4 linked regions of the Arabidopsis thaliana genome follow. The protein of the gene in region 1 purifies or fractionates together with the protein of each later gene. This does not show direct contact. Each region holds a gene or a part of one and is shown in the gene's direction. Other genes may lie near its edges.

Region 1 (7,547 bases):
TTAGACAAAGGGAACAATGTTTGTGCGGTATGCAAAGATGAAATGTTAGTGGAGGAGAAAGTAAGGAGGCTTCCTTGTAGTCATTTCTATCATGGAGAGTGTATCATACCTTGGTTGGGGATAAGGAATACTTGCCCGGTTTGTCGGTATGAGCTGCCTACTGATGATCTTGAGTATGAAAGACATAAGAGCTCAGAAAGGGGCGATACTGGTTTGGCAAGGAACGTGTTGCCGGGTAGATATAGTTAATTGAATATTTGAAGTGATCTATTCTTCAAGTTAATAGACATGGTTTCAGAGGCAAGATCCTTGAACCACTTTGTTTATGGTAAGCACTTATCGTGAATGTGATAATGTTTAAGTTGTATATATTCCTTTTGTTTTGTGAAATAAATCATGTTAAACTTTGAACCCTTATCTTGAAGTGTTTGTGAAGTTAATCCATCTTTCATAGTTGTTCTCGTTGAAGATCAATCATGGATTTATAACTAAGCTTCTTACTTCATTAGTTATTGACAACTCTTAAGCTAGTTTTGCATGATCTGGATAGATCTCTCAAGGTAACCTTTTTGTAATGACTTTTATTTTACAGACCCTGAGGTGCTACTTTGTTCTCTCAGTGAAACTTGTGCTTGCATTGTTGCAGAAATTCCAGAGTTTCTTACAGATTCGACGGAGTTTGTTGAACTGTTTAATTTGATGTTTTGAATTCAGAACAGCGTGCCGTTTTTCGTTTAATTAGATTAGGCTTTCATATGGCCCATATATTAAACAGCCTGTTGTAACAAAGCCCATAAAAGAAGAAAAAGAATAAGGGGTGTGAAACATAAAATAAACGAAAATAAAGGGTGTGAATGTGAAATAAAAACAAGTTTGGATTTGTCAATTGATCGCACCGACGCGGAAATCTTTGGTCTCCTCACTCGTCAGTCGTCACCATCCTCGACATTACATTGTTTTTATTTATTTAATTAATATGTTAGTTACCTCTGCACTAAATTAAATGAATAGTTTTATTTGTATATTTTAGGCAAGATGGATTATATATAATGATTAAATAAATTAAGGTGTGTATTCTTCACTAAATGTTTGAGATCTATCCGTCACACTCCAGAGGTTAAACTCAGTCATCTGTCTTTGGGGAGGACAAGCAAGAACCTCACCGACGATTCCATACCAAACAAATTCCCGATCTGGAAACAACTGACCTGTGAAGGTGAAGTGTATCGCTGGAAATGGCGGTGGCCTTCCGTGGAGGCCGGGGAGGCGTCGGATCCGGCCAATCTACCGGACTTCGTAGTTTCTTCTCCTACCGGATCTTTATCTCCGCTTTGTTCTCTTTTCTCTTCCTCGCCACTTTCTCCGTCGTTCTTAACTCCTCTCGTCATCAGCCTCATCAGGATCATGTACGCATCTCTCAATCTCTGAGCTCCTTCTTTATTTCTCTGCTTTTGATTGATTTTGTAATTCGAACAAATTTAGAAATGAATCGGTGGCAATTTCATTGAATCTGAGCTTTGATTTTTGCTGTCTGGTTTTTAGACATTGCCGAGTATGGGCAACGCATATATGCAGAGGACGTTTTTGGCTTTGCAATCGGATCCATTGAAAACTAGGTTGGATCTGATACACAAGCAAGCCATTGATCATTTGACACTGGTGAATGCGTATGCTGCTTACGCTAGGAAGCTAAAGCTTGATGCTTCTAAGCAGCTTAAGCTCTTCGAAGATTTGGCTATCAACTTCTCGGATTTGCAGTCGAAACCTGGTTTGAAATCTGCTGTGTCTGATAATGGTAATGCTCTTGAGGAGGATTCGTTTAGGCAGCTTGAGAAAGAAGTGAAGGATAAGGTGAAGACAGCGAGGATGATGATCGTTGAGTCTAAAGAGAGTTATGATACACAGCTTAAAATCCAGAAGTTGAAAGATACAATCTTTGCTGTCCAAGAACAGTTGACAAAGGCTAAGAAAAACGGTGCGGTTGCTAGCTTGATTTCAGCCAAGTCGGTTCCTAAAAGTCTTCATTGTTTGGCCATGAGGCTTGTAGGAGAGAGGATCTCTAATCCTGAGAAGTACAAGGATGCTCCACCTGACCCAGCCGCAGAGGATCCAACTCTTTACCACTATGCGATTTTCTCTGATAATGTCATTGCTGTGTCTGTTGTGGTGAGATCGGTTGTGATGAACGCTGAGGAGCCATGGAAGCATGTCTTCCATGTGGTGACAGATCGGATGAATCTCGCAGCCATGAAGGTGTGGTTTAAGATGCGTCCTTTGGACCGTGGTGCCCATGTTGAGATTAAATCCGTGGAGGATTTCAAGTTCTTAAACTCTTCCTATGCGCCGGTCTTGAGGCAGCTTGAGTCTGCCAAGTTGCAGAAGTTTTACTTTGAGAATCAAGCTGAGAACGCAACTAAAGATTCACATAACCTCAAGTTCAAGAACCCCAAGTATCTCTCGATGTTGAACCATCTCAGATTTTACTTACCAGAGATGTATCCGAAGCTGAATAAGATTTTGTTCTTGGACGATGATGTTGTGGTGCAGAAAGACGTGACTGGTTTATGGAAAATCAACTTGGATGGCAAGGTGAATGGAGCCGTTGAGACATGTTTTGGTTCTTTTCATCGATATGGTCAATACTTAAACTTCTCTCATCCTTTGATCAAAGAGAACTTTAACCCCAGTGCCTGTGCTTGGGCCTTTGGAATGAACATATTCGATCTCAATGCCTGGAGACGCGAGAAGTGCACCGATCAATACCATTACTGGCAGAACCTGGTAAGTCCATTGTTTAACTATGTAATGTATGATTCTTCCTTAGTAACCTAGACATGTCAAAGCTCTTTTAGGTACTTATCTTCTGTTGGTTCTTATGTTTTCCGAGCAGAATGAAGACAGAACTCTCTGGAAATTGGGAACTCTACCTCCGGGATTGATCACATTCTATTCAAAGACGAAATCATTGGACAAATCATGGCATGTACTTGGGTTAGGCTATAACCCGGGAGTGAGCATGGACGAAATCAGAAATGCAGGAGTGATTCATTACAATGGAAACATGAAACCGTGGCTAGACATTGCGATGAACCAATACAAGTCTCTCTGGACTAAATATGTTGATAACGAAATGGAGTTTGTGCAGATGTGCAATTTTGGTCTCTAAAGAGAGAACGATGAAAACAAACAAACCGGAAAGAGGAAAAAATAGGGAGAAGAGGTAACCTCGGATCGATGTGTTTCTGTCTTTCTCGGCATTCTTTAACTGATGATACGTTTATCTTTATATAGGGTTACAAAAAAAAAGAAGCATTTTGCTTGTTATTTCTGTCATAGTTTTGGTCTTTATTTTTATTTTGTAAACTCTTCACAGCAATATGTTCTCCCAAGCTACAATGTCTTGTTGTCTTTATTTCATACTTGTCTGCCTTAAGAATCATATAGAAGAAACTCTAAAGGTTTTTTTTTTTTTTTTTTTTTTGAAACTCTAAAGGTTTGTTCTTCCCTTTCTAGAATGCTGCATAATACAGGTAGGAACGTATAAAGTGTAATTGCAAAAGGATTTGGTTTGGTGATGAATTAGGATTCCGTTGAAGTGAGAATTCACTATTTGGGTTTACCCCGGCTTAAATCAAATGTGATGTGTAAAACGAGTTTGGTTTTCAAGTTTTCAAACAAAAACACACAAACACACGGTATTTGAGGAAAGACTATATATTTTCTCTGTATGAAAATCAAATTCCAATGACCAATATGATGTCAAGAGAAAACAATTCAAGATCCAACGACTACTACCACCCACCCTTTTCTTACCTAACGCAGGAGTGGCCAATTTTGACAATACTTTAACAACAAAAAAAGGGAAAAGGAGAAAAAAATATTATTACTTTGGTAGCAGTGGTGCGAATCAGACCGTTCATTTGCTATATATCTGCTACAAACAAACATCACTAATCTCTGCAATTTTTACTCTCCTCCTTCACGTCTTTTCCTCTTAATTTTTTCTAGGAAAATTCTCAAATCCATCTCCGCGATACGAACAGGTTTGTTTCTCCGATCATACTCTCTCTCTTTTTGTTTTTTCCCCAATCAATTTTGGTTTGGTATCTGATTGTTCCAATCACTTTTCGATATAAATGATGTGTACCGAAATTTCAGAAAAAATTATTTAACTTTTATGTGATCCAGCATTTTTGTGTGATTCCGTTGAAAATTCCCATTATGTTGTTTAGATCGGTGTTTTAAGTAATCGAATCTTCGCTCTTGTTGTTAGTGTATGCCACGATCGTGATCTTTTTTTTTTTTTGAGATTTGTCATGTTGATTTATTGATTCTGTGTTCGAAGATCTTGGGGATCTTATTTCTGGTTTGTATCGTTGCGTTTATTTGAGATCAATCATGCATGAATCTGTTTTGTTTTACATACATCTTTCTTAAATTTGTGATGTATTTATTTGTTTGGCAGAGAGAAGAAGACTTAGAAAAATGGCTGTTCAACCTACAAGAATAGGTCTAGCTGGACTTGCTGTGATGGGTCAGAACCTAGCTCTCAACATTGCAGAGAAAGGCTTCCCAATCTCTGTTTACAACAGAACTACTTCCAAAGTTGATGAGACCGTCGAACGAGCCAAAAAGGAAGGCAATCTTCCTCTTTACGGCTTCCATGACCCCGAGTCTTTTGTCAAGTCCATTCAGAAGCCACGCGTTATTATCATGCTTGTTAAGGCTGGTTCTCCCGTTGACCAGACCATCAAGACCCTCTCTGCTTATTTGGAGAAAGGTGACTGTATTGTCGATGGTGGTAATGAATGGTATGAGAACACTGAGAGGAGAGAAAAAGCCGTGGCGGAGAACGGTTTCCTCTACCTTGGAATGGGAGTTTCTGGTGGTGAAGAAGGTGCTCGTAATGGCCCATCTATGATGCCTGGAGGCTCTTATGAAGCCTACAAGAATATCGAAGACATTGTTCTCAAGGTTGCTGCTCAGGTTAGGGATAGTGGTCCCTGTGTGACTTATATCGGTAAGGGCGGGTCTGGAAACTTTGTCAAAATGGTCCACAATGGGATCGAGTACGGTGATATGCAGCTGATTGCAGAAGCTTATGACGTCCTCAAGTCTGTTGGTAAATTATCGAATGAGGAGCTTCACAGTGTCTTCTCTGACTGGAACAAAGGTGAGCTTGAGAGTTTCTTGGTAGAGATCACAGCAGATATTTTCGGGATCAAGGACGATAAGGGAGATGGGCATTTGGTTGACAAGGTCTTGGACAAAACCGGCATGAAAGGCACAGGAAAGTGGACCGTGCAGCAAGCTGCTGAGCTATCTGTTCCTGCTCCCACCATTGAATCCTCTCTTGATGCGAGGTTCCTTAGCGGGCTTAAAGATGAACGTGTGCAAGCAGCTAAAGTCTTCAAGGCAGGTGGGTTTGGAGATATCTTGACCGATCAGAAAGTTGACAAGAAACAGCTAGTCGATGACGTGAGGAAGGCTCTTTACGCATCCAAAATCTGCAGCTACGCACAAGGCATGAACCTTATCCGTGCCAAGAGCATAGAAAAGGGGTGGGGATTGAAGCTAGGTGAGTTAGCTAGAATCTGGAAAGGAGGCTGCATCATCAGAGCAATCTTCCTAGACAGGATCAAGCAAGCTTATGACAGGAACGCAGAGCTAGCTAACCTCTTGGTGGATCCAGAGTTTGCGAAAGAGATAATCGAGAGACAGTCCGCGTGGAGAAGAGTCGTCTGCTTAGCTATCAACTCGGGTATCAGCACACCGGGTATGTCTGCGAGTCTAGCCTACTTTGATTCTTACAGGAGAGAGAGATTGCCGGCAAATCTAGTCCAAGCACAGAGAGACTACTTTGGTGCTCATACATATGAAAGGACTGATGTGGAAGGATCTTTCCACACCGAGTGGTTCAAGATTGCAAGACAATCTAAGATCTGAGATCTCTCATCCTCTTGTATTCTTCTTCTCCTTCAATAATAAGTTCCACACAGTATGTTTCTTTCCTCAATGTGTGAGATACCTTGGCTTATTTATGATTGTAGAACTGAGTTTCTCATCTTTGTGTTTCTTTTTCTTAAAAAGATTAAAACTGAAGTCTTTGGTTATAATTTTTTACTTTTGGTTTCATTGACTCCTTTTTATTTGGGTGTTTATGCGATGGGCTTAGTAATTTGGTCGGCCCATATAAACTTTTCCGACAAAGTAAGTAGATACGTCATCATTCTGCCATTAAACGTCATTGCAATTATCTCGTCTCCAGCAAAACGGGAAATCAAACTTCCGATGATCGTCGTCTCCCCGTTGGGAATAATTCGTTCGCAGGGAGTAACTCTGTTACCGAATTCTCGTACGGCCTGCGAAAGTTGAAGACTTTAACAAAATATATTTTTACCTTTCGCCAAGTGTTCGACGAATTGCCTCAGCGACTTCGTTTCCTCTTGAACGACTGAAACTGATCTCAGCAGCTATGGAGGAGAAAGACTGGGAAGGTTCTCCGCTGAGTGAAAACGAAGCTGGTTTACTATGCTATGATGACGAAGAATATCAATTTGGTGGTCCAGCTCCCAAATTACAATTCAGGTGGAGAGACTTGATTCAGGATATGATTGTCCGTGTTAAGCTAATTGTTCTTAGTTCTTACAATCAATTTCTTTCTTTTTGTGCTTGCAAATTATAGAGTAGGATCCTCCAAGGCTCGTTGGAATGCTGAATTAGGATTTAGGAATGGCCGAAGTTGAGGTCAAAAGGGGTAAACTTTGGACGACAACTGGAATTATCCGTACCGGAAAAACATATTGCTTCATAGAAGAGGCTCTGTATGTGGCAAACGAAACATTACAAGTTTGTTTTTAAAGATTGCAGTGTTTACTCAAATCACCTGATGAAGTTTCTTCCTTTTTCGAATTGTCTTCTTTCTGATGCAGGTATTTGAGTGAAATTGGAGAGTTGCAGCTCTTGGGTGATGAGGATGACGTAGTGATTTCATTGAAGGACTTGTATGGGGAAATAGCGGAGGGAAAATATGGCTGCTGTTGGGAAAACTACGAGGTTTATAGATACTTAAAGGGTCTTGGTTACATTCTAGGCAGACATGGAGTTCCTTGGACTACAAAATATGCTGTGAATACTACACCAAGTGATGAAGATGAGTCACTTTGTGCTGCAGAATTTTTCCAAGACAGAGACTCTGTTACCAAACTCCTGAGTGATATGCATATCTGTGATGCAAGACCGGTGTTTGATGTGTATTTGCCAAACAGCCAGTTCAAGAAGTCTTCTCCTGGTGAACCGAGCTTTGTCACTTGCTTCTCGGGGTAAGCTGTTTTCGTTACTTCAAACGACAAAAGCAAATTTTCTCATAACAAGTCTTAGTCAATGTACTCTATCTTTTGTACAGAGACTCTCCACCAAGTAAAGAAGAAATTAAAGTCCTGCAAAAGTGCATAGTTTCACCATTGATGTTCTGTCATATCGCTCAGGGCCGTGCCACTTTCTTTTCCTTCAATTCCATAGACCTCCTTGTCTTACCATAAATGTGA
Region 2 (7,362 bases), about 18 Mb from region 1:
CTGTTAACCTATTTAACGACATGACTCAAATGGCAAGTCAACAAACACTTTGTCATTTATTTCGAAAGTCAACAAAAACTTTACGATTTATTTATCTTCCGTGAAGTTCAAAATTAAATCGTCCCAAATTTGAAAGACATTTTTCCCGAATATCATTTATGAATTATGATACAATGTTACTAAAAAAATCATTTTTATGTCTCATGCATGTAGTAACGAACACACACTAATATAGTAACAAATGATCAGACGTTACTCTTAAAAACTAGAGTGGTCATCATGTTCAAACTTTAAGGTACATTAGACCATCTAATTAGAACCATGCGTAATTAGTATTGTTAAGTAACCAAAAGAAATAACGACGATCAATAGTAAGTTTTTTTTTTTTGTGTGTGTAACCAATAGGTAGTACTTAAGTTAAATGTATATTATTTCATTCCTATTTCTTTAAATTGGTATCGATTCATTCTAAAATGTTGCATGGATTTTTTTTAACATCTTTAGATAAAGTTTTATGTTCCGTTTTTTTTTTCAGGTGACAAATTTCAAATGTGGGGGTTTTGTCCTAGGACTAGGCATGAGCCACAACATGTTCGATGGAGTCGCCGCTGCGGAGTTCCTCAACTCGTGGTGCGAGATGGCCAAGGGTCTTCCTTTATCCGTCCCACCATTCTTGGACCGTACGATTCTCCGGTCACGAAACCCTCCCAAAATCGAGTTCCCACACAATGAATTCGACGAAATTGAAGATATTTCCGACACCGGAAAAATCTACGATGAAGAAAAACTCATCTACAAATCATTTCTTTTCGAACCCGAAAAGCTTGAGAAGCTCAAGATCATGGCGATTGAAGAAAATAACAATAATAAGGTATCAACATTTCAAGCCTTAACCGGGTTTCTTTGGAAATCAAGATGCGAAGCTCTACGGTTTAAACCGGACCAACGGGTTAAGCTTCTGTTTGCGGCGGATGGACGGTCAAGATTCATCCCACGTCTCCCGCAAGGATATTGCGGGAACGGGATTGTGTTAACCGGTTTGGTGACATCATCGGGAGAATTAGTTGGGAACCCTCTTTCTCACTCGGTGGGTTTGGTCAAGAGACTGGTGGAGCTGGTTACGGACGGCTTCATGCGGTCGGCTATGGACTACTTCGAGGTGAACCGGACACGGCCGAGTATGAACGCGACACTTTTGATTACATCCTGGTCAAAATTGACATTGCATAAACTGGATTTCGGTTGGGGAGAACCGGTTTTCTCTGGACCGGTTGGTTTACCAGGGAGGGAAGTGATCTTGTTCTTACCAAGTGGTGATGATATGAAGAGTATCAATGTGTTTCTTGGCCTTCCTACTTCAGCTATGGAAGTGTTTGAAGAGCTTATGAAGATCTGAAAAAGAACATACATTTTCATAATCAAATTATGATATATTCTACCAAATTATAAGCAAAGGAAAATTATAATCTAGTCATTATTTATACATGTTATATTTGAATTCACGTTTGTATCCATTACAAAAATTTATGTAATTCGCAGAAAATATATATATGTCAAATTAAGTTATCGGACCGGATCGGGTCAAAGAAACCGGATTGGTTAACAAAGTCAAACAAACAAATATTGACTTGAGTTTCAGATTCCAGTAAAATCAAACCGGATCGGGTCTGAATTTAAACCACCGGGTCGGCTCCATCTAAAATCTGAAGATCATCTCCGCCTTATCTTGTTGACTATCTCTGTACTACTTACGAGCGCAAGTGAGAGAGTAACAGAGAAACGTAGAGATATAGCAAAATGGCTGCGACGCTTACTGGATCAGGGATTGCTCTAGGGTTTTCGTGCTCCGCAAAGTTCTCTAAGAGAGCTTCTTCGTCGTCCAACCGTCGCTGCATCAAGATGTCGGTTTCGGTAGAGGAGAAGACGAAGAAATTCACTCTTCAGAAATCTGAGGAAGCTTTCAATGCTGCGAAGGTTAGGCTTTTCAATTTCCATGAATTCAGTCAATAAGAAATGTTTCTTCAGATTGATTACGCCTTGATGTTCTGTTGCTTTGGTTTTGTGGGATTTGATCATATTTTTGGTTAAAGTGATTATCTTTGTTACCCTTCAAGGAACATTGCTAACAAAATAAGATTACTTGAGATAGAATCATAATCTGAGATAAAGTTTTTGTTTTTATTGGTTTCATTCTGTTCTGATTATTGAAATTGGTTTGGTTCCTTTGTGTAGAACTTAATGCCTGGAGGTGTGAACTCACCTGTACGTGCTTTCAAATCTGTTGGTGGACAACCAGTGGTGATGGATTCTGCAAAGGGCTCACGAATAAGAGACATTGATGGAAATGAATACATTGACTATGTTGGATCTTGGGGACCTGCTATAATTGGTCATGCTGATGATGAGGTTTGTTTCTTTCCAGTTTTGATGATTTTTAGATAGCTGAAAGTTTAGTAGTTGATACGGTGATGTGTCTAGTGCAGGTTCTTGCTGCTTTGGCTGAGACAATGAAGAAAGGAACAAGCTTTGGTGCTCCTTGTCTCTTAGAGAATGTTCTTGCTGAGATGGTGATTTCAGCTGTTCCAAGTATTGAAATGGTTCGGTTTGTTAACTCCGGTACAGAGGCATGTATGGGTGTGCTACGTCTTGCTCGTGCCTTCACAGGGAAACAAAAGTTCATCAAGTTTGAAGGTTGTTATCATGGTCATGCAAACTCTTTCCTTGTCAAAGCAGGTAGTGGTGTAGCTACTTTGGGTCTACCTGACTCGCCTGGGGTCCCCAAAGCAGCTACTTCAGATACTTTAACAGCTCCATACAATGATATTGCTGCTGTTGAGAAGCTTTTTGAGGCAAACAAAGGAGAGATTGCTGCCATCATTCTTGAACCTGTTGTTGGTAACTCGGGTTTTATTACACCTAAACCAGAGTTCATTGAGGGAATACGCCGGATCACTAAAGACAATGGTGCTCTTCTTATTTTCGATGAAGTCATGACTGGTTTTCGTTTAGCCTATGGTGGAGCTCAAGAATACTTTGGAATCACACCTGACTTAACAACTCTTGGGAAAATCATCGGTGGTGGTCTTCCTGTGGGAGCATACGGTGGAAGAAGAGACATCATGGAAATGGTAAAGCTAGAGTTGTTAACAATTGAACCGAATAATCTTTTGAATTTGCTGCAAGAGATTGAGAAAGTCCTGATCCTTTATCACTCATGTCTTTTTGCAGGTTGCACCCGCAGGACCGATGTATCAAGCTGGTACGCTAAGTGGTAATCCGTTGGCTATGACAGCGGGTATACACACGCTGAAGCGGTTAAGTCAGCCAGGGACATATGAATACTTAGACAAGATCACAAAAGAGCTTACAAATGGGATACTAGAAGCCGGGAAGAAAACCGGGCATGCGATGTGTGGCGGTTACATAAGCGGGATGTTCGGTTTCTTCTTCACGGAAGGACCCGTCTATGATTTCTCGGATGCAAAGAAGAGTGATACAGAGAAGTTTGGAAAGTTTTTCAGAGGAATGTTGGAAGAAGGTGTCTACTTGGCACCTTCTCAATTCGAGGCCGGTTTTACTAGCTTGGCTCACACTTCAGAAGACATCCAATTCACTATCGCAGCGGCCGAGAAGGTTCTAAGTCGGCTCTAAAATGTCTCTGGAAGCTTCCAGGGAACCATGAATGTATTTGAAATTTTTTGATGTAGAGAAAATTAGATTCAATTGAGAGCAAGCAAGCAATCTCACAAAATTTAACTGTGGTAAGAAAAGTCAAAATGTCTATGAAGATTTGTTGACTTTTTAAAAAGAGTTCTTGCTTTGCGTTAACGTCTTACAAATCACACAGAATGATTTCTATTGCAACACACTTTTTCATCATGTAGCCAACATCATAATCTGAGTCATAAGACGATATATTTCTCCACGGAACAAGGGAAGTGCATCTGCAAAGTTAAGCTTCCATATTCAGTTTTCTTCACATTTCTATAGATTCCCTTGCCCATTTATGTCTTTGTCCGACCTAAGACGACCTAGAAAGTGGATACACAGTCCATCCAACGAGAAAGTTTCACTAGTCTCCTACTTCCCAAGGTTACGTCTTTCATATGTTTAGTTGCATTTTTCTTTCTTCACATCTTTGCTTCTAGCTGTAGTTTGTTCAATCCAACCGACCGAGCTGCTTTTCATTGTCTTAAAGAATGAACAAGAAACATCCTGATGATTATGTGAAGATGTTTTGGAGACCAAGCTGATTCGAACTTTCTTTCTAATTCGGACACAATTGAGTTGGAATTATTTGAAATTGGAAAGGCCCAGTAAGGAAGTGATCCAATATTACTTGCCTTAGACAAAGACTTGGCCCACTCAGTCCATACAAAATATTCCTTTTTATTTATTTAAAAATATGAATACTCCTTGACTTAGGCCAATCAAAATTTATAATTGATATTTTTTGTTAAAAGAATTTATGATTGATAATGCCAATATTTTCTGTATTGAAACATTTTTTAAATTTTTCTATTTTTTGTTTTTTTTGGTTATATCCGAAGAGTAATGTGACCACGTTAATTCTCAAGTCAAATATTATCTTTCATAATTAGAAAACTTTATCGTATATTATTAATATTATGTCCTTAAAATAAACAGAAAACATTAAGTATGACCAAAAAAAAAAAAGACAGAATCATGATGGATATTTTAAATAGTTTTCGTTAAATCAGAAAATAGGAAATATACATTATCCCCAATAGATAATTACACAAATTTTTATAAAGAAGTAGAGAAACTAACTCCGGAAAATTAATCCTCTACTTCGCACACTTGATAAACTCAGAAAAATACGACAGCGTAACGGGGTACACGTGGTGGTTGGTATATCAAGTTGGGGTAAAGTCAACATTAACGTATTTTTATTCATGTAGCTGCTGCGGAAGAGGACTGCTTGCCATGTTTAGGGGTTTGTCCATCTTCAATCTCAGCCCTTCGATCATTTCCGCAGGTACACTTGTTCGCTTGACGAACCACTGAGATTGGCTCAGGGGATGAAACTGTGCCTAGCTTCAACATATCGAGGCTCACCTCCGGTAACTTAGCAGCTTCGACTTCTTTCTCTCCTAGATGCGGCGACGTTTTACAGTATTTGTAGACAACGTAGAGTATCATTTGGAGTGCACCGAGAGCAAAACCAAGCACATTCGGGAACTGCACGAAAAACATTTGTTGTAGTGGCAATAACATAATAACATTTTAATATACTCACTTTTCCACTTTCTAGCTTGTGAATAAAGTACGTTAAAAACGAAATAAAGTAAAGTTTATGGCAAACTTGTGCGGCATCGATAGAAGTTACGTACAAAATATAATTTCTATGTAACAATAAAGATAAAAAGAACTTAATATATTATGAACTTCTTTTGCAAAAGCTAAATCTTTTAATGTTTCTGTGGAACATAAAGCGAGAGTTTCTTTATAATTTGGTTTATTTTTATCGTAAAGGACGATACCAAACAAAAGGTTTTGCTTTCATTAATCGTTTTTTTTATCTTTTGCCAATCCATATCTCTTTTTATCTATGAATCTATGATTAGAACCTCAAAGTCTCAGGTTCATTAGAAACAAAAGCACCCACTTCATGTAATATACTGTTATGATAATGATAGACATATGATTATGATGCTTGACGACATGATAATCATGTTAAAACATATATATTCATTATAGCAAATAGAGAGAGATGAAATGGCTTACAGCAACATAGATGTCCTTGAGAGCAAGACCATAAAGGAGCCATATGACAGCACTGATGGTAAGGGTTAAGGATAAGCTAAAGGGCATGTACTCCACACTTCTTGTCTTTATTACCGTCCTCTATATATAATTAAACAAAAATATATATGTTAATTATTATTGTTACCAAATCATAATTTAATCACTTGGTAAATTAGCTATTTCGTAGTACTTACGATTATGCTTAGAGGAGCAGCGAAAACACAAACAGAGAATCCGACACAGATTCCTCCGATAATCTTAGCACGTGTGGCTCCTTTTACCAAGAATTGGCAAAGAAGGAGAATCGCACAGAATCCTCCAAAGTTCATAAGAAGTAGCATCTTCACTGTCAACATCTGCATCCATTAAGAAATGTTTTATTTAGCAACTTCATTTGAATAATGTTATGAACAACGTAACATGCATGTCATATGAACTGAGGATTAATTATTAGTTACCCGAGCTGGCTTGGGAGCGTAGGCAAGGAACATAGAGATGTAGATGGTTTCGATGAAGCAACCAAAGGCGTTAATGGTTACGAGGAGGAAGACATCTTTCTTCTGTGTCGCATAGTAAAGCCAAAGCGTCGCACTGAAGAGCGCCACAACATAAGGAATAGACTGAAACCCTTCTGTTGTCTTCTTCTTCCAAATCCTATAGAACGTTGGCCTGCGTCCAAAAAAAAACTGAATATTAGTTACTCAATTATATCGGAGAATATTGATGTAACGTAGTCATATATATTCTGATTTGTTGCATATATATTACTTACACAGGAGATAGGAACACGGCAAAGGAGATAAGGTTGCCTGAAAATTATACAAGAATATAGCAAAAATATGATATTAAGAAATCGATATTAAATCTCTAGAATTTAGATATTAGGGTTGCAGAACTTGATCAAAAATATTCATAAGAAATGAACACAACGTTAGTATCATACCGAGCAAGCCAAAGACAAAGGCCCATGTGTTTTCAGTGTTGAAGAGACTCATGGTATATAAGTTGTTAGGAGAAGGAAGAAGAAGAGAGATAGCACTTAGTTTTGCAAGTGTTTTCTCTTAATGTAAAAGCTAATGGCACGAGCTTAGTGTTTCGGGGACTTCACGTATATATAGGGGTTAGGGCTAAAGGGAGGAATGGGGTTTGTGTGGGAGATGGAAAAAGGAGAAATGTTTGTGTGAACAATAATATTTTGAATAATGTTTGAATTTCTTATTTATTTTAAAAAGCGTTAATGTCATTGTAGTTGTATAACAAAAAAAGACCCGCAACAATAATTCACACGCTAAACCATTACCAAATCATATACATTTTGACGTACAAATAACAATTCTGTTACCAAATAACCTTTTTTAGGTTTTGGCTTAAGAAATAAAACATAATTAGTTATGTTAATAATGCTTGTCAATCTCAGCTGTTTAGGCAAGCTATTTTCTTAAGGATTATGTCTAGATTCTACGTATGCATCTCTAATTCTCTATATATACAATGACATAATTATGACCTAATCATTTTACGATTTTGAGGGTTTTCACCAATCCTATTATTTAACTTATTTACACAACGTAATAAGTATATTTGCCAACTTCG
Region 3 (8,002 bases), on another chromosome or scaffold:
CAAACCCGTTAACATAATTACACCTTGATGCATTAACAAGACCAGCACTTCCTTGAACCATAAGCCTTTGGCTAACCACATCAACAGGAGTCCAAACAAGCTGTGCAGCCATCGCAGCACTCAAACCTCCAACCGCATTAGCAACAGCAGCAGCTTTAGCCTCTGTCAACCCCAAGCTGACAGCAGCAGAGCCTACGTTACTCTTAGTAACCTCCAAGGCAGTCATGTACAAAGCACGAGCAGGGATAGTTCCCATCAAAGAAGTTCCAAATCCTCTGTACAATCCCCTTAAACCTTCATGTCTCACAAGAGTAAACGCAGTTTTAATACAAGAACCTTGCGAATGACACACTTGTTGCCGAGTTTTCATCAAAACCGCAGGATAAAGAGCTCCAGATACCCCTGAAAACAAAGCAGCGCCTAAAACGAAAAACTTGGATTTATCAAGCATCTCCCAATTGATATCAGCTGGTAAATGAATCTCCTGAGCCGATTCTTCCTCGGCCGCACCCAAATTCATCTTCGCCACTTTCTAACCAACCCAGAGAAACACACACAAAAAAAAAAACTTTTTTAAACAAGGAACAAAAAATGTTCCTGAGATGTGTTTCAGAGCTCAATCTCTATCTGTACAACTTTTCCTAACCTCGCCGCAAATTTCTATTTACAATCGGAGACTGTAACCTATCCCCAGGATTAGAAAGACCAAAAATTTCTAAAAAAGACAAAACAAAAATTAGGATTCAACGAGAACGAAAGAGGAAAGATTTCAGAAGCCAAATCTCAAAGCAAGAGACGACGGCATTTTTTGCGTCTGTGGAACCACGTCTTCGATCCAAAACGATCACCAAAACCATGCGGATCTAACTCTAACAACAACATCTTCGAAAACAGAACCGATTAATCGACCTTACCGAAGAAACGATCATCCTCGCCGGTAAGCGATAAAGAAAAATCTAACCGCGAAACTCGTTTCCTTCGCCGGAGATATCCAATAAGCACCAATACAAGACCGATGTTAGAAGAGAGAGAGAGAGCTCAAAGAGAGTAATCGCGACGAGAGCACACGAAAATGAGACCTTATACAGTTATACTGTTACGAGCGAGTCTAGGGTTCCGGTTTTTTTCCCCCTGTAAATATACCAAATTGAGATACCGGTATAGATTATAAACCGGCTTGCATTTTCCGGTTCGATTAGCTGATTTCTCTATGTAACAAAATGCCATTTACAGTTTTCAAATTTACCGGTTAAAATTGACCTAACCGAAACAAATAAAGTGGAAATGTTTTAGTTTTTGATTCAACTAAGTGTATCATCAATGGATTTTATATTGTTTCCATATTGTGCAAAATGTAATCAGAAAATGATCACGATGTGCAAATTGGTTTGCTTAATTTAAGATTGAATTACAGATTTTTTTTTATCGAATATTAAAGGATTTATTAAGGAAATAAGGAAGATCTGGTAAAAATCAGATGCTGGCAGGTGACACGTGTCACTCATGACTAAGGTCTTAAACTCTTACGGATAAAGAAAGCGACAAACTGGGAGCACTCTTAGAAGACGAAGAAGATCGACGGCAGAGATAGAAAAAAGCTAAAAGGTCGTCATCGAAAACAACGGCTAAGATCTTGTTCTCGGATCAGACCCAACAGAGGAGAGAGAAAATGGATCCGCTTTTGTGATTTGGATAAGATGACGTGGCGTCCATATCCTTGGGTCGTTGGGCAGAGAAGAGAGCAGAAGGCAGTGTGAGAGGCACGTGATCTGTCACGTGATTTTTGATTCTTTTTCACTGTTACACTTCCACTATCGTTCGAGCTATATTTTTTTTTATGAAAAAAGAATCTAAAGATTTATCAGAGTTCCTCCTAGAGATGCTAAATTTATAGGAACAGTGGTGGTCCTTGGACAATAGTATGATACTACCAAACACCAACAGAAATCATTTTTCTGTCGTTGTATCATTTACTGACATAACTTGATTACAAAAATATAGTATTAATTAGCTTTGGGAGTTTCACATATTTTAGTATCAAATCAAATATACAACAGAAATCAATACTATAGTATTTGGAAATGCCCACTACCTAAACATATACTACATTTCTTTTTCGGTCCACGCTTACTTATTACATCGTTAATCCTTATCTTCAACAGATTAGATGTTAAAGTGAGTAGACAAGCTTAGACTGATTCCAACCATGTGATTTGATTCCAAAAAGAACATTATAGCTGTGATGGGCTTGAGTGACGAACAACACTGTTGGTTCTGTATCAACTGGTGATGACCATTATTTCAGCCCACAACTTGGAGATAAAAGAACCAAATCATAAGCAGTTTCCACAGACTAAAGCACCAACAAAAACTATGGAAAGCTTTTATCGAGCAAAAGATCACGAGTCACAAACATAACAAAAAAGTACACGAATCATGAAATCAAATTTCTCAAGTTCCCTATCAAAACGCTTTAAAATACAGAAAAGGGATCCCTTCTCATTTATTGTGTCGTTCTCTCCCAAACCCCAAAACACTATTACCCAAATTTAGAGAGAACACACAACGGTTAGTTGAGGTATTCAGAGTTTGAATCAATTCTAATTCAAGTCTTTTATTTGAAGTATAAGCTTATTGGGCTGGTTTTTCACAATGACTGTATATTTGACCCAATCCGCCCAATGTGACGAAAAGGAGGACCCATAACTAGTGGTGTCCTTTACTTTCTTTTTCTTTTCCAAAAACGTTAAGATCATAAACTCCATACCTATATACATTAATATGAACTATGAAGTGTCGTCTACTTTGTATGAATGTTGCTCTCATAGTCTCATCTCATTATTTATTTTTGTCCTTTAAAATGACAAAAAGATAGTGACATTTATTATTTATTTTTTGTTTCCGTCGCTTGTAATATATTTATTTGATTAATAAAATGGGACGAAATCACAAATATATATTAGAAGAACAAAGAACAATAGATACAAATAATAGTAACATTATATTTTACTCATAAGAATATACTTCATGTGTGGCACATGTCTCATGTAGTCCATACATTCGTGTTTTTTTTTGTTGTTGCATATTTGATATCTTAAACACTAAAATTTACACATGATTCATGAATGTCAAAGATTCATTTCTCCCTAGTGCTTCTTTCTCTACCATCAAAAGAAAATTCATGACTAATAATCCATACAAATAATAGTAACATTTTACTCATAAGAATATACTTCATGTGTGGCACATGTCTCATGTACTCCATACATACGTGTTTTTTTTTTTTTTTTGCATATTTGATATCTTAAACACTAAATTCACACTAGATTCATGAACGTCAAAGATTCATTTCTCCCTGGTGCTTTCTCTACCATCAAAAGAAAATTCATGACTAGAGAGATATATACATAATTTGGAAATTGGAATGACAAATGAAAAACAAACAATAAATGAATACTTTCGTCCCAATATTTATTAGGTTATAAATAAATTACTTGTGACTTGTGACTAAAGGTGTCAACAATCATTCTTCTATCCAATCAATATCATCAAACTCTTCACTTTACTCTCTCTCTCACTCATAATGGCCTCATTCTCTCTTCCCCACTCCGCCACCTACTTTCCTTCCCACTCTGAAACCTCACTTAAACCTCACTCCGCCGCTTCCTTCACCGTCCGTTGCACCTCCGCCTCTCCCGCCGTTCCTCCACAGACTCCACAGAAACCCCGTCGTTCACCCGATGAGAACATTCGAGACGAAGCTCGTCGCCGTCCTCATCAACTCCAAAACCTCTCCGCACGTTACGTCCCTTTCAACGCTCCACCTTCTTCAACAGAATCCTACTCCCTCGACGAGATCGTCTACCGTTCACAATCCGGTGCTCTCCTCGACGTCCAGCATGATTTCGCCGCCTTGAAACGCTACGACGGAGAATTCTGGCGTAACCTTTTCGATTCTCGCGTCGGTAAAACAAATTGGCCGTACGGATCAGGCGTGTGGTCGAAGAAAGAGTGGGTACTCCCCGAGATCGACGATGACGACATCGTCTCTGCTTTTGAAGGAAACTCAAATCTCTTCTGGGCTGAGAGATTTGGTAAACAGTATCTGCAAATGAACGATCTTTGGGTGAAACATTGTGGAATCAGCCACACTGGCTCCTTTAAAGATCTGGGCATGAGTGTTCTCGTTTCTCAGGTGAATCATCTTTCATAAAGTTTACAACTGTATAACCATCTTCAATAAAGTTTACAACTTTATGTTATTTTTTTGTTTCTCAGGTGAATCGTCTCCGGAAAATGAACAAACCAGTCATCGGAGTTGGTTGCGCTTCTACTGGAGATACCTCCGCTGCTCTCTCTGCTTACTGTGCTTCCGCTGGAATCCCCTCGATTGTCTTCTTACCTGCGGATAAAATCTCCATGGCTCAGCTTGTGCAGCCGATTGCAAACGGAGCGTTTGTGCTTAGTATTGACACTGATTTTGACGGATGTATGCATTTGATCAGAGAAGTTACGGCGGAGCTTCCTATTTACTTGGCGAACTCTCTCAACAGCCTCCGTCTCGAAGGTCAAAAGACGGCGGCGATTGAGATTCTGCAGCAGTTTAATTGGCAAGTTCCTGATTGGGTCATTGTTCCTGGAGGCAATCTTGGTAACATCTATGCGTTTTACAAAGGGTTTCATATGTGTAAAGAGTTAGGTCTTGTTGATCGTATCCCTAGGCTTGTTTGTGCTCAAGCTGCTAATGCAAATCCACTTTACTTGCATTACAAATCTGGGTTTAAAGAAGATTTCAATCCATTGAAAGCAAACACTACATTTGCTTCTGCTATTCAGATTGGTGACCCTGTTTCGATTGATAGAGCTGTGTATGCGTTGAAGAAATCTAATGGGATTGTTGAGGAAGCTACAGAGGAAGAGTTGATGGATGCAACAGCTCTTGCTGATTCTACTGGTATGTTTATATGTCCACATACTGGTGTTGCATTGACGGCGTTGATGAAGCTGAGAAAGTCAGGAGTTATTGGAGCGAATGATCGGACTGTGGTGGTGAGTACAGCTCATGGATTGAAGTTTACACAAAGTAAGATTGATTATCATTCTAAGAACATAAAGGAGATGGCTTGTAGATTGGCGAATCCACCAGTGAAGGTTAAGGCAAAGTTTGGTTCAGTTATGGATGTTCTCAAGGAGTATTTGAAGAGCAATGATAAATAAGCTTTGTGTGTTTGTTTCTTCTAAAGCTCTTCACGTCCTATGATGATATTGTTGGCTTTGTTATTAGAGGAAGTAATGAAATTTCGTTTCTTTGGACTTGTGGAATAAAACGACTGGTTGGTTCCGTGATGCTCGCTAGTTGTTTCATATCAAACTACTACTGAGTTTTACATATGCTCTTAACAAAAGTACTCACGACCTGTCTTTTAACCTCTTCTTTTAAATCTTTTAAGAAACAATAAACTTATCTAGAAAATTAACTTCAAGAATTTTTTTCATCTTATTTAAAACCAAAAGAACTCAAAATTGAGTTAACATTAACATTGGGTCAAAAACTTAACTAGAACATAAGAAAAAACTCCCAAGTAATACAAATTTAAAACGTTCCTCTTCTTCTAGGTAGTCTTCTTACTTTAGGGAGTAAAACTAGGTGATCTAGTTCCACGAGCAGTCTCTTCCTTCATGCACTACCAAAGGTTCAAGCCTTCAACAGAAGGTACAACGGCCCTGATTACCACAACGGCCAGGAAAAGGCCAAGTACTTCCACTGCGAATCGGTTCAGCCTTACCAACTACAAGATCCCATCCTCCCACGTCATGTCTACCAAGTTCCAACGCCTTCTCTGCTCCTTCTTTCAGATCAATGTAAGCATATCCTAAGGAACCACCGGTTCCGTGGCTTGGGGGAACAAATACGCGTGTGATCTCCCCAAAAGAACTGAAATATTTACTCAATGCGCTCTTTATATCATCCACAGGAAGGGAAGCGTCAAATCCCGTAACAGAGAACGATCGACCATTGACACCAACAGAAAATAAAGAATCTTTAGCAGCTGGCTTGACACCAACAGAGAATAAAGAATCTGGCTTGAAACCAGCAGAGAATAAAGAATCTTTAGCAGCTGGCTCGAAACCAGCAGAGAATAAAGAACCTGGCTTGAAACCAGCAGAGAATAAAGAATCTTTAGCAGCTGGCTCGAAACCAGCAGAGAATAAAGAATCTGGCTTGAAACCAGCAGAGAATAAAGAATCTTTAGCAGCTGGCTTGAAACCAGCAGAGAATAAAGAATCTTTAGTAGCTGGCTTGGCGGCACTTGCAGCAGGTTTGTTTACAGGTTCCTCAGCAGAAGACGATTCATCCTCCGAAGAAGTGTCCATGTATGAGTCATCGCTCTCAGAAGAAGCCTTAGCAGAAGTCTTCATGGCAGGAACTTTCTCACCCTTGGCTGAGATGAGAAGCTCCTGTATATCCGCCTTTATTGCCAACAAATCCGCCTTTGTTACCAACAAATCCACCTTTGCTTCGAGACGCTGAAGACGATCAGCGAATTCTTTGATCATCTCCTTCTCATCAAGGTTTTTCAAGACGGATACTTTCGTGATCTCCGTCTGATCAGATTCTTCCTTCTCGGAAGGAGAAATCACGTCTTTGGCCTTAATCATAGCAGGAGCTGCTTCAACTGTGGTTGCGGATAACTTGCTAGACTCAGCCATGGAGAAGATGACAAGAAAAGAGAAAGAGCGATTTTAGGTTTTCGAGAGACAATAATCCAAGCCTGTTGTTTAAGATATATATATTAGGTTACATAAAAGATATATGGCGTTTTTCTAACGCAACTCGGTGGTGGTTCATCGTCACGTTGCTGTTATTAGGTTACAATTACATAAAAGATGGCGTTTTTGTAACGCAACATTGCCGCCATATTATTATTTTTTTGATAAATTATTAAATTATTACAAATGTTTTTTTAATTATGTATTTTATTGTTAACAAAGTTTTTTCATTAATTTAGAAGGGAAAAAAAAGTGGAATCGACTAAAAAAGGCAAAGAAGTGGGGTTTCAATTGGCTGTGTATTAAAAAGTTGAGTTAATCAAATTAAATATTTATAAATACCTATCAATTTGTTTCTTGTTTGATGATATAAAATTAAAGCTATAGTATTTTTTTCTTTTTTTTCTAAAAATATTGAATATATTTTTCAAAGCTATAAGTTCTCCATCCAAACATAGTTCAAAATAAAATAAAAATGGAGAGTATTACAAGAAAAACTAGTTGTATAGAGATTTTTTTTGGTTCATCCCAAGATGGGCTAAAAACTGTAAAAACGGATACTAGGAATTGTATACACCACAAAATTACGTATAAGAAAGTCTAAACAAAAGTAAGGTAAAAAAAACCAACACAGTAGTAATCCAAAAATCCAAAATCTAAAAGAAATAGCCTCTATACGCTTGGGCTGGGCCTATAACCCGTTGAAGATCCGGATTCATGAAGTCCGGGTTCGGGTCCTAAATTGGATCTCCCTCTTTTCACAGAGTTCATCTTCTCCAATTTGAGTCCGGCTCTGAATCTTGCGATGAAATCATCGGCTTTGGTATCTACGTCGGGGCTCGGACAGAACATACTCCCGGCGGCCTCCTTACTTCCAGCTGATTGAGCTACATCCGGATCATCAGGTTCGTCGGAGCTTATGCTGATGTCACTAGCCATCCTGACGTAATCTCCACGCTTCACGAATTTCCAAGCCGGCATTTTAAACGGCGGAGGAGGAGGCGGCGGCGGGATCGGCATTAGTGGTGATTCGCTTCCTGTGCCTACGTATTGAGTTACTTTAGCTGGCGGATTTGGTTTGGATGTCCGTGATTCCACCGGAGCTTTTCGGAGCTTCGAGGTTGATGCGCGTGATTCATATCTCCGTTCAGGTGGTGGTGGAGGAGGAGGAGGCGGTGGATTTGAATTGTTTTTTTTGCTTTTACCTTTTTTGGATGAGAAAAGCCCTTGG
Region 4 (8,124 bases), on another chromosome or scaffold:
TCCGTTTGTCCGTGTCCTAGTCTTTATCTGCTTACCTGTTGCATGGCCAATAAGCAAGGTAAAAACACTTTACCGATTTCCGTAGGAGCCAGTGCCCCCACCAATCATGCTCGTTGTTATAATAAATTTTTGCTCCTTTGAATAATCCAGTTGCTGGACTTTCTATTGGGTCATCGTCGTGCAGCGCTTTTTCGAAGAGCTGAGCTGAAAACACTTGTGGATTTTCATGGAAATGAGGTATGCATTGATCCCATCTTCCATATTGAAAAGTTTATGTACCCCTTCTATCTATGTCATGATGTTTAGTGTATTGTTTCTTTCAGGCTGGAAAGGGTGGGGAGTTGACTCATGACGAAACGACAATCATTGCAGGAGCTCTTGAACTCTCTGAGAAAATGGTCAAAGATGCAATGACACCAATATCGGATATCTTTGTGATTGATATCAATGCCAAACTAGACAGGTTTTGTGTTGTGATTCCTTGGAGACCTAACTTATCAGAAACACACTTGCCTGGAGTCTTTATACTTCTCATGCTAAACACTTTTCTTTTCTTTGTTCCTCTGGTATAGAGACTTGATGAACTTGATTCTTGAGAAAGGGCATAGCAGAGTTCCAGTATACTATGAGCAGCCAACTAACATAATCGGCCTTGTTCTGGTAACTCCCAGTCTCATGCATTACTTCCACAATTTGACTCGCTTCTCTGTGAAGTCATTTTTCACAAATATTTTCCTCTTTAGTGTTATGGTTCCACTTCTAACCATTCATATCTATTATCTTCAGGTGAAGAACTTATTAACTATCAACCCAGATGAAGAAATACCTGTCAAGAATGTCACGATAAGAAGGATTCCAAGGTGAAACTTCCAAATCTAAGTAACTAAGCCCCACTGAATGTGCTTCAAAAGCTGATTTCTTGCTTTGTTTTAGAGTTCCAGAAATCTTGCCTTTATATGACATATTGAACGAATTCCAGAAAGGACTCAGCCACATGGCTGTTGTTGTAAGACAGTGTGACAAAATCCACCCATTACCTTCTAAAAATGGTAAACTGCTTCATTAATCGACAAAACAATGTCTTGCTGAGTTACAAGTATTGAGAATCTTTGCTTTGGTTTCTAATAGGGAGTGTTAAGGAAGCCCGAGTGGATGTGGATAGTGAGGGAACTCCTACTCCTCAGGAGAGAATGTTAAGGACAAAAAGATCGCTTCAAAAGTGGAAGAGCTTTCCGAATCGAGCAAGTTCGTTTAAAGGAGGGTCAAAGAGCAAGAAGTGGTCAAAAGACAATGATGCAGACATCCTGCAATTGAATGGCAATCCGCTGCCTAAACTTGCTGAGGAAGAAGAAGCAGTCGGAATCATTACGATGGAGGATGTCATTGAAGAACTTCTGCAGGTAAGGAATCTTATATAAGTTAAAAACAAAAATTCTTTTTCACGGATTAATTATTGCTTGGCTTGTGGTTGCAGGAGGAGATCTTTGACGAAACTGATCACCATTTTGAAGACTCCTAACACAGAGTGCATGACCACTGAACTGGTTATGAATGTCGAAAACTTTAGTCTTTGTTTTCAACTTTCAAACTGTCACTTGTCCGGCGAATGTGTATCAATGTAGGCATGAACAACAACTTTTTCTATGGTTTCAAGATGTTTTCTCTCTATATATATATCATTGGTCTCTAAGATATGTCGCTCTCTCCTTTCTTCAAAGAGTTTTACCAAATCTGAACCCTCATAGGCCACACCAATAGTTGTCTCTACTACCTATATATCATTAGTCTCTAAGATATGTCACTCTCTACCTTACTTCAAAGAGTTTTTATTCGCATTTTACTAATACAAGAATTAATGAAATATGATCATCTTATGGATACAACATCACTGCCGGTGTAAAAAGGCAATTACTTTTGTCCGGAAAGATCTAGTCCCTACCATATTTTCTCTTCTTCCTATCCCTTTTCTTCTCTTTTGACTTGTGTTTCTTACTAAGTTTCTTCTTATGCTCCTTTCTCTTTCTATGAGCCCGTTTGTAAACTTCCTCCTCGTCGGAAGAAGAAGAATCTGTCCTACGTCTCAATAAAGGTGATCGCTCTGGCTGAATCACTAGCTTCCGATCTCCTGTATCAGAAGTTCTTGACAATTCCCTCTCAGGAAGACAGGGTAGCGGTTCATCCATCATAGCACCAACAGAACCTCTGCCACGCTTGACCCTATCATAGACCAGAATCACAAGTTTTATCAGCAAAAGCCGATCCCAAATTCGATCATTATTGTAAAGGAAATAATCAGGCAGCATCTGAGTATAATGGAAATACCTTGATTGGAGAAAAGTCTTAACCTCGACATCTCCTAAGCCTTCATCATCATCATCCTCTGATTGCCATCTTTTGCTTCTGCTCCGGCTTGATGATGGTGATAAACTAGTAGTAGTAACATTCTCATCAACTGAAGTACATCTCTTTAAAAAATCCCTCCTATTGTTCTGCTCACTTTGACCATTGCTGCTCTCATCTCTTGATTTTCTTTTGAGCCTTTCACCAAACTCAATCTCTTTACTCCGAAGACTCCACATCTCATTGGTTTCCACAGCTTTGTTTGCTGAATGGAATAAAGAAGAAACAAATAAGAGATAAACTAAAAAAAAACTAGATTTTGTTGGATAGAAGCAAAGTCTGTCAACAAAAGATTATACCTTGCTGAACACCAAGAACTGTAGCAGTGAGAAATCTAGAGTTAGGTCGATGCCTTACATTAGGCTTCTCAAGATATGCTCTGACGCCATCTTTCTCAGCTTGTCTCCTCAATTCTGCTGCTTCTCTTAAAAGAATGGAAGCTATTCGATTTTCAGTTTCCAGATCCATCTACTCCAAGGTAAAACAAAAAAGTATAAGCCTAATCAAGTTATGTGATCAAATCAATCTGGGTAGATCAAACAAAGATGGAGTTGAACTTAATTCGACCACTACAGCTATCTAAATCATTGCTTCTTAATCACAGAACTTCCACTAAAGCTACGTTCTTTCGACAACGAAATCAACGAAGCAAAACAAACAAAATTACGTAAACACACAACAATCGAAAAGGGGATTTTTGGAGAACCCTATTGGTCGAGATTAATTACCACGAAATCGAATTGACTCAGATACAGATATCTAGTAGCAGCTTCACGAAATCGTGCGATTCCTCGGCGTTTTCCAGCAGGCGCAGAGCAAAATCATTGTCCGAGCCAGAGAGAGAAATAAATAAATTGAACTGAATTGGAAAATTCCCAAAAATTTCTAGTAAAACCGAACCGGAACAAACCGGATTAATTTCCTCTCAGACCAAACCGAAGAAGAACCCTAGTTTTATCAGTCTCACCAACTATCTCCCATGGTTCATTTGCTCTGCAAATTTGTCTGAAAAAATCTTTGTGCGAAGCAGGAAAAATGTCGTCGACCCATCAGTTAGTTTCTTCGATGATCTCTTCTTCCTCATCCACTTTCTTAGCCCCTTCAAATTTTAATCTCAGGTGCGTCGTTTTGTTTTCTTTTACTCTCTGTTTGCTACTGATATAATCTAGTGAGGATGAATATGAAATTGGATTCATTTCCAGAAATTAATTGTATGTTATGAATTTACTTGGAAATTTCAATCCTTTGGTTTTTAAGTCGATGTTGGATGGTGTTGTTTGGCCAGAGAACAGTGCATTTGCTTGTGATGATCATTGATTCATTTTTTTATTGGTTTGCTTTCCTTTTTGGCTTCAGAACTCGAAATGCTTGCTTACCCATGGCAAAACGGGTCAATACTTGCAAATGTGTTGCTACGCCGCAAGAGAAGATCGGTAATGTTCCTACTCCATGTTGTTTTTGCTGTAATGATTAGTAACATAGTTAATGATTTATCGTCTTTTAGCTGTTTATCTGTTTCTTACAATACATGATTTTGTTTTCTGTATGTAGAGTATAAGACCAAAGTGTCACGGAATTCAAACATGTCCAAACTTCAGGCTGGATACCTATTCCCGGAGGTTTGTTACCTGTTACTCTCTTGGTACTACTATTTAAGATTTCAAATACCTAAAGGAGTGGCATTTCAAGTTAACATTTTTGAAAGCTTCTAGTGATCTGAAATATTATAACTATCTGTGTAATAAGTTAATATATCCTCATTGATTCTGTATATAATGCTCCTCTCTCTTATTTTTTTGTGTGGATGCAAACAGATTGCAAGAAGAAGGTCTGCACACTTGTTGAAATATCCAGATGCACAAGTTATAAGTCTTGGAATAGGCGACACAACTGAGCCAATTCCTGAAGTGATCACTTCTGCTATGGCAAAGGTACCTCCTTATCTTAACTTAGCTTCATGTGCTCTTTGCCCTTCTCTGGGCTCTAGCATATTTTAAACTGATTTTACTAACACTGCCCTAACATGTATTATTTCGTTCATTTTGACAAAAATGTATAACATATTTTCTGTTTTGGCGTATTTGGATTATTAAACGAGAACTTCTCTGTAATCTAACAATGAAAATTATTCTGGTAGCATAGTTTTTTTGTTTGCTATACTATTCACACAGGCATGTAATCTCTAGAGATTAATCATGTTTTTTTTCTCTGACAGAAAGCTCATGAGTTGTCAACAATAGAGGGATATAGTGGTTATGGTGCTGAACAAGGTGCAAAGGTCAGTGCACCCTTCATTTCCACCTTATTGCGTTGTTATCATTTCTTTATTATCTGCCTTTGCACGTCACTTCAATTTTATTATGGATAGTCTTGAACTGCTGCTAAATTCAAGAGAAGATGGATTTAAACCTGTTTCTTACATGTAAAATCTTAAAGCTTAATCTGTTAAGTTTTTATCCAAACTAACCTTGATTTCACATATGTGAAAAGCCACTGAGAGCTGCTATTGCGAAAACATTCTACGGTGGCCTTGGCATAGGGGATGATGACGTTTTTGTTTCTGATGGAGCTAAATGTGATATCTCACGTCTCCAGGTTTGTTTTATTGCTGACTATTCATCTGTAATTGATACAAGATTAAGAAATATGAACAGCTGTTTCTTGATTCCACTTCTTGCAGGTTATGTTTGGTTCCAATGTTACAATTGCTGTTCAGGATCCTTCATATCCGGTAATTGGGCATATAGAAACCAAATTGCAGTTGTAGTCTTCTCTACTTTTGCTCCATTTTAACGTGGAACTATGCTGTCTCGTTTTTTTTGGATTATACAGGCTTATGTGGACTCCAGTGTTATTATGGGTCAGACTGGGCAATTTAACACTGATGTGCAAAAGTATGGAAACATCGAGTACATGAGATGCACTCCAGAGAATGGCTTCTTTCCCGACTTGTCCACCGTTGGCAGGACAGATATAATTTTCTTCTGTTCCCCAAATAACCCTACGGGTGCTGCTGCCACGAGAGAGCAACTAACGCAGTTAGTTGAGTTTGCAAAGAAGAACGGTTCTATAATAGTGTATGATTCCGCCTATGCAATGTACATGTCTGATGATAACCCACGATCCATCTTCGAAATCCCTGGAGCAGAGGAGGTAATAGACTGATTGATTATAACATTAAAAGGTCCATTTTTCAACATCTTTCTTCATGTGTACAACCGCTTACAGGTCGCTATGGAGACAGCTTCGTTCAGCAAATATGCTGGTTTCACTGGAGTTCGACTTGGTTGGACTGTCATCCCGAAAAAGCTACTCTATTCAGACGGTTTCCCTGTTGCCAAAGACTTCAATCGGATTATCTGCACTTGTTTCAATGGTGCATCTAATATCTCTCAAGCTGGTGCTCTTGCTTGCCTTACACCCGAAGGACTTGAGGTTAGCTTAGCTAAAGAGAGATCTCAAACCAGTTCCCACTAGTTCAGATATGCAAAATGATTTATTTTGTTGTCTTTTGAATCATTGCAGGCAATGCATAAGGTGATTGGATTCTATAAAGAAAACACAAACATAATCATTGACACATTCACATCTCTCGGGTATGATGTATATGGAGGAAAGAATGCGCCTTACGTATGGGTTCACTTCCCGAACCAAAGCTCATGGGATGTGTTTGCTGAGATTCTGGAGAAGACTCATGTGGTTACAACTCCAGGAAGTGGGTTTGGACCAGGGGGTGAAGGGTTCGTTCGTGTCAGTGCCTTTGGTCACAGAGAGAACATCTTAGAGGCATGTCGAAGATTCAAGCAGCTTTACAAATGAAGAACCTTGTTTGTAATCGTTCCTCATCATCATCACCCTCTTTAATGACATGATTTGAGTTAAAATAATGTCGTTTCCATTGTTTTCTGGAATTTGTAGAAGACACTTTTGACACCAGTGTTTCAAGCAATTTGGCAAAGTATTTTAACAACGAAATCAAAGTGCAAATAAGTGAACTAGTGTGGAAAATAAAATATTTAAATTGGACTGAGGAAGAACGTCAAAAAAATATAAAATTGGATTGGTTAAATAAATCTAAAATTGGACCGGGATGGGTGTTTTCGTAATTTAGGCTTGTTGAGCCACCGTGTGGGCAAAAATATCCAAAAACACAACACAAGTGTTGTCTTCTCGCGTCTCTCATCAACGAGAACCAGTTTTTTTGTTGATCCTATCAACAATGACGAAAATAGAGCTTCGAGCTTTGGGGAACACAGGGCTTAAGGTTAGCGCCGTTGGTTTTGGTGCCTCTCCGCTCGGAAGTGTCTTCGGTCCAGTCGCCGAAGATGATGCCGTCGCCACCGTGCGCGAGGCTTTCCGTCTCGGTATCAACTTCTTCGACACCTCCCCGTAAGCACTTCTTCTTCTTTTATATTTTCTAAAGATTACTGATTCTTCAATACTAATTGCTGATTCTCTGAATGTTGAGACTAATTTAATCGTTAAAGTCAAAATTTTTATTGGAAGGTTTCATATTTACTTTTTTATTTGGCATTTATTGTGTGTGTGAAGGTATTATGGAGGAACACTGTCTGAGAAAATGCTTGGTAAGGGACTAAAGGCTTTGCAAGTCCCTAGAAGTGACTACATTGTGGCTACTAAGTGTGGTAGATATAAAGAAGGTTTTGATTTCAGTGCTGAGAGAGTAAGAAAGAGTATTGACGAGAGCTTGGAGAGGCTTCAGCTTGATTATGTTGACATACTTCATTGCCATGACATTGAGTTCGGGTCTCTTGATCAGGTTTACCACTTTATTTCTCTTGGGTTTATCACTTTCGTTGTTTGTGTCTCAAACCTTTACTAAGTGTTCATTCATTGCTGCCAGATTGTGAGTGAAACAATTCCTGCTCTTCAGAAACTGAAACAAGAGGGGAAGACCCGGTTCATTGGTATCACTGGTCTTCCGTTAGATATTTTCACTTATGTTCTTGATCGAGTGCCTCCAGGGACTGTCGATGTGATATTGTCATACTGTCATTACGGCGTTAATGATTCGACGTTGCTGGATTTACTACCTTACTTGAAGAGCAAAGGTGTGGGTGTGATAAGTGCTTCTCCATTAGCAATGGGCCTCCTTACAGAACAAGGTCCTCCTGAATGGCACCCTGCTTCCCCTGAGCTCAAGGTTTGGCATTTTACAAAAGAATGTGATTCTTGTTAACATTTCTGTAGCACTTGTATTGATACACCGTATAAGAGACTAGTGTTAAAACGCCATTCGTGCAGCATTCTCTCGAGCATAGGCAGGTTAAATTCTATAGATGCTATACTTCTGAGACTGACAATCTTTGTTTCTTAACTCGTACAATCATTGTGATTAGTCTTCATAGGCAAGATTAGAGACACTTCAGATAGTTCCCAATGGGTATTAACATGTTAGTTGGTCTTTGATGAGTATTCAGTAGAAAATTAAACAGATTCACATGGACGCTGGTATTTAGTTGAATTGATGTTTGGAAGAGTAGGGGATGCTCTTGAGTTAGTTTTGGTTTGTTCTCTGTTTGATATTTTGATTTAGTGAGAAGTAAACGAAGATACTGACTTCTTAACAAATTGTTCTCAAATATGAAAGTCATAACCCGTTGCTGCTTTTATTGTCTTATGTAGTCTGCAAGCAAAGCCGCAGTTGCTCACTGCAAATCAAAGGGCAAGAAGATCACAAAGTTAGCTCTGCAATACAGTTTA

What was found.
Region 2: the proteins of AT3G02360 (region 1) and GSA2 fractionate together in Arabidopsis thaliana (co-fractionation; one large-scale study listed by BioGRID). This does not show direct contact.
Region 3: the proteins of AT3G02360 (region 1) and AT1G72810 fractionate together in Arabidopsis thaliana (co-fractionation; one large-scale study listed by BioGRID). This does not show direct contact.
Region 4: the proteins of AT3G02360 (region 1) and AGD2 fractionate together in Arabidopsis thaliana (co-fractionation; one large-scale study listed by BioGRID). This does not show direct contact.

Annotation. Positions count from the first base shown.
Region 1 is NC_003074.8:478,013-485,559, forward strand, and holds AT3G02360 (6-phosphogluconate dehydrogenase family protein), read left to right. Parts: upstream 1-3,763; 5' UTR 3,764-4,043; exon of another isoform or gene 4,044-4,274; intron 4,275-4,465; 5' UTR 4,466-4,485; coding exon 4,486-5,946; 3' UTR 5,947-6,140; downstream 6,141-7,547. Other genes in the region: AT3G02340 (RING/U-box superfamily protein), read left to right, coding at 1-249; GAUT9 (galacturonosyltransferase 9), read left to right, coding at 1,236-1,406, 1,543-2,781, 2,891-3,166; AT3G02370 (tRNA-splicing endonuclease subunit), read left to right, coding at 6,733-6,824, 6,933-7,322, 7,406-7,541. UniProt on the Arabidopsis thaliana protein: Catalyzes the oxidative decarboxylation of 6-phosphogluconate to ribulose 5-phosphate and CO(2), with concomitant reduction of NADP to NADPH. Required for guided growth of the male gametophytes and interaction between the pollen tube and the ovule.
Region 2 is NC_003074.8:18,047,900-18,055,261, forward strand, and holds GSA2 (glutamate-1-semialdehyde 2,1-aminomutase 2), read left to right. Parts: upstream 1-1,671; 5' UTR 1,672-1,797; coding exon 1,798-1,974; intron 1,975-2,232; coding exon 2,233-2,406; intron 2,407-2,483; coding exon 2,484-3,128; intron 3,129-3,228; coding exon 3,229-3,651; 3' UTR 3,652-3,879; downstream 3,880-7,362. Other genes in the region: DCF (HXXXD-type acyl-transferase family protein), read left to right, coding at 536-1,396; SWEET11 (Nodulin MtN3 family protein), read right to left, coding at 4,915-5,202, 5,749-5,868, 5,964-6,125, 6,228-6,438, 6,542-6,578, 6,713-6,764. UniProt on the Arabidopsis thaliana protein: Transaminase converting glutamate 1-semialdehyde (GSA) to 5-aminolevulinate (ALA). Involved in the biosynthesis of tetrapyrroles.
Region 3 is NC_003070.9:27,395,975-27,403,976, reverse strand, and holds AT1G72810 (Pyridoxal-5'-phosphate-dependent enzyme family protein), read left to right. Parts: upstream 1-3,502; 5' UTR 3,503-3,583; coding exon 3,584-4,195; intron 4,196-4,278; coding exon 4,279-5,217; 3' UTR 5,218-5,703; downstream 5,704-8,002. Other genes in the region: AT1G72820 (Mitochondrial substrate carrier family protein), read right to left, coding at 1-520; AT1G72800 (RNA-binding (RRM/RBD/RNP motifs) family protein), read right to left, coding at 5,704-6,711; AT1G72790 (hydroxyproline-rich glycoprotein family protein), read right to left, coding at 7,444-8,002. UniProt on the Arabidopsis thaliana protein: Catalyzes the gamma-elimination of phosphate from L-phosphohomoserine and the beta-addition of water to produce L-threonine.
Region 4 is NC_003075.7:16,169,942-16,178,065, reverse strand, and holds AGD2 (Pyridoxal phosphate (PLP)-dependent transferases superfamily protein), read left to right. Parts: upstream 1-3,342; 5' UTR 3,343-3,435; coding exon 3,436-3,518; intron 3,519-3,756; coding exon 3,757-3,833; intron 3,834-3,951; coding exon 3,952-4,019; intron 4,020-4,214; coding exon 4,215-4,331; intron 4,332-4,615; coding exon 4,616-4,678; intron 4,679-4,890; coding exon 4,891-4,995; intron 4,996-5,080; coding exon 5,081-5,131; intron 5,132-5,232; coding exon 5,233-5,553; intron 5,554-5,628; coding exon 5,629-5,835; intron 5,836-5,925; coding exon 5,926-6,219; 3' UTR 6,220-6,385; downstream 6,386-8,124. Other genes in the region: AT4G33700 (CBS domain protein (DUF21)), read left to right, coding at 1-58, 151-237, 324-463, 573-660, 787-860, 934-1,049, 1,129-1,400, 1,475-1,519; AT4G33690 (G patch domain protein), read right to left, coding at 1,929-2,217, 2,323-2,605, 2,700-2,868; AT4G33670 (NAD(P)-linked oxidoreductase superfamily protein), read left to right, coding at 6,620-6,789, 6,952-7,180, 7,265-7,564, 8,047-8,124. UniProt on the Arabidopsis thaliana protein: Required for lysine biosynthesis. Catalyzes the direct conversion of tetrahydrodipicolinate to LL-diaminopimelate, a reaction that requires three enzymes in E.coli. Not active with meso-diaminopimelate, lysine or ornithine as substrates.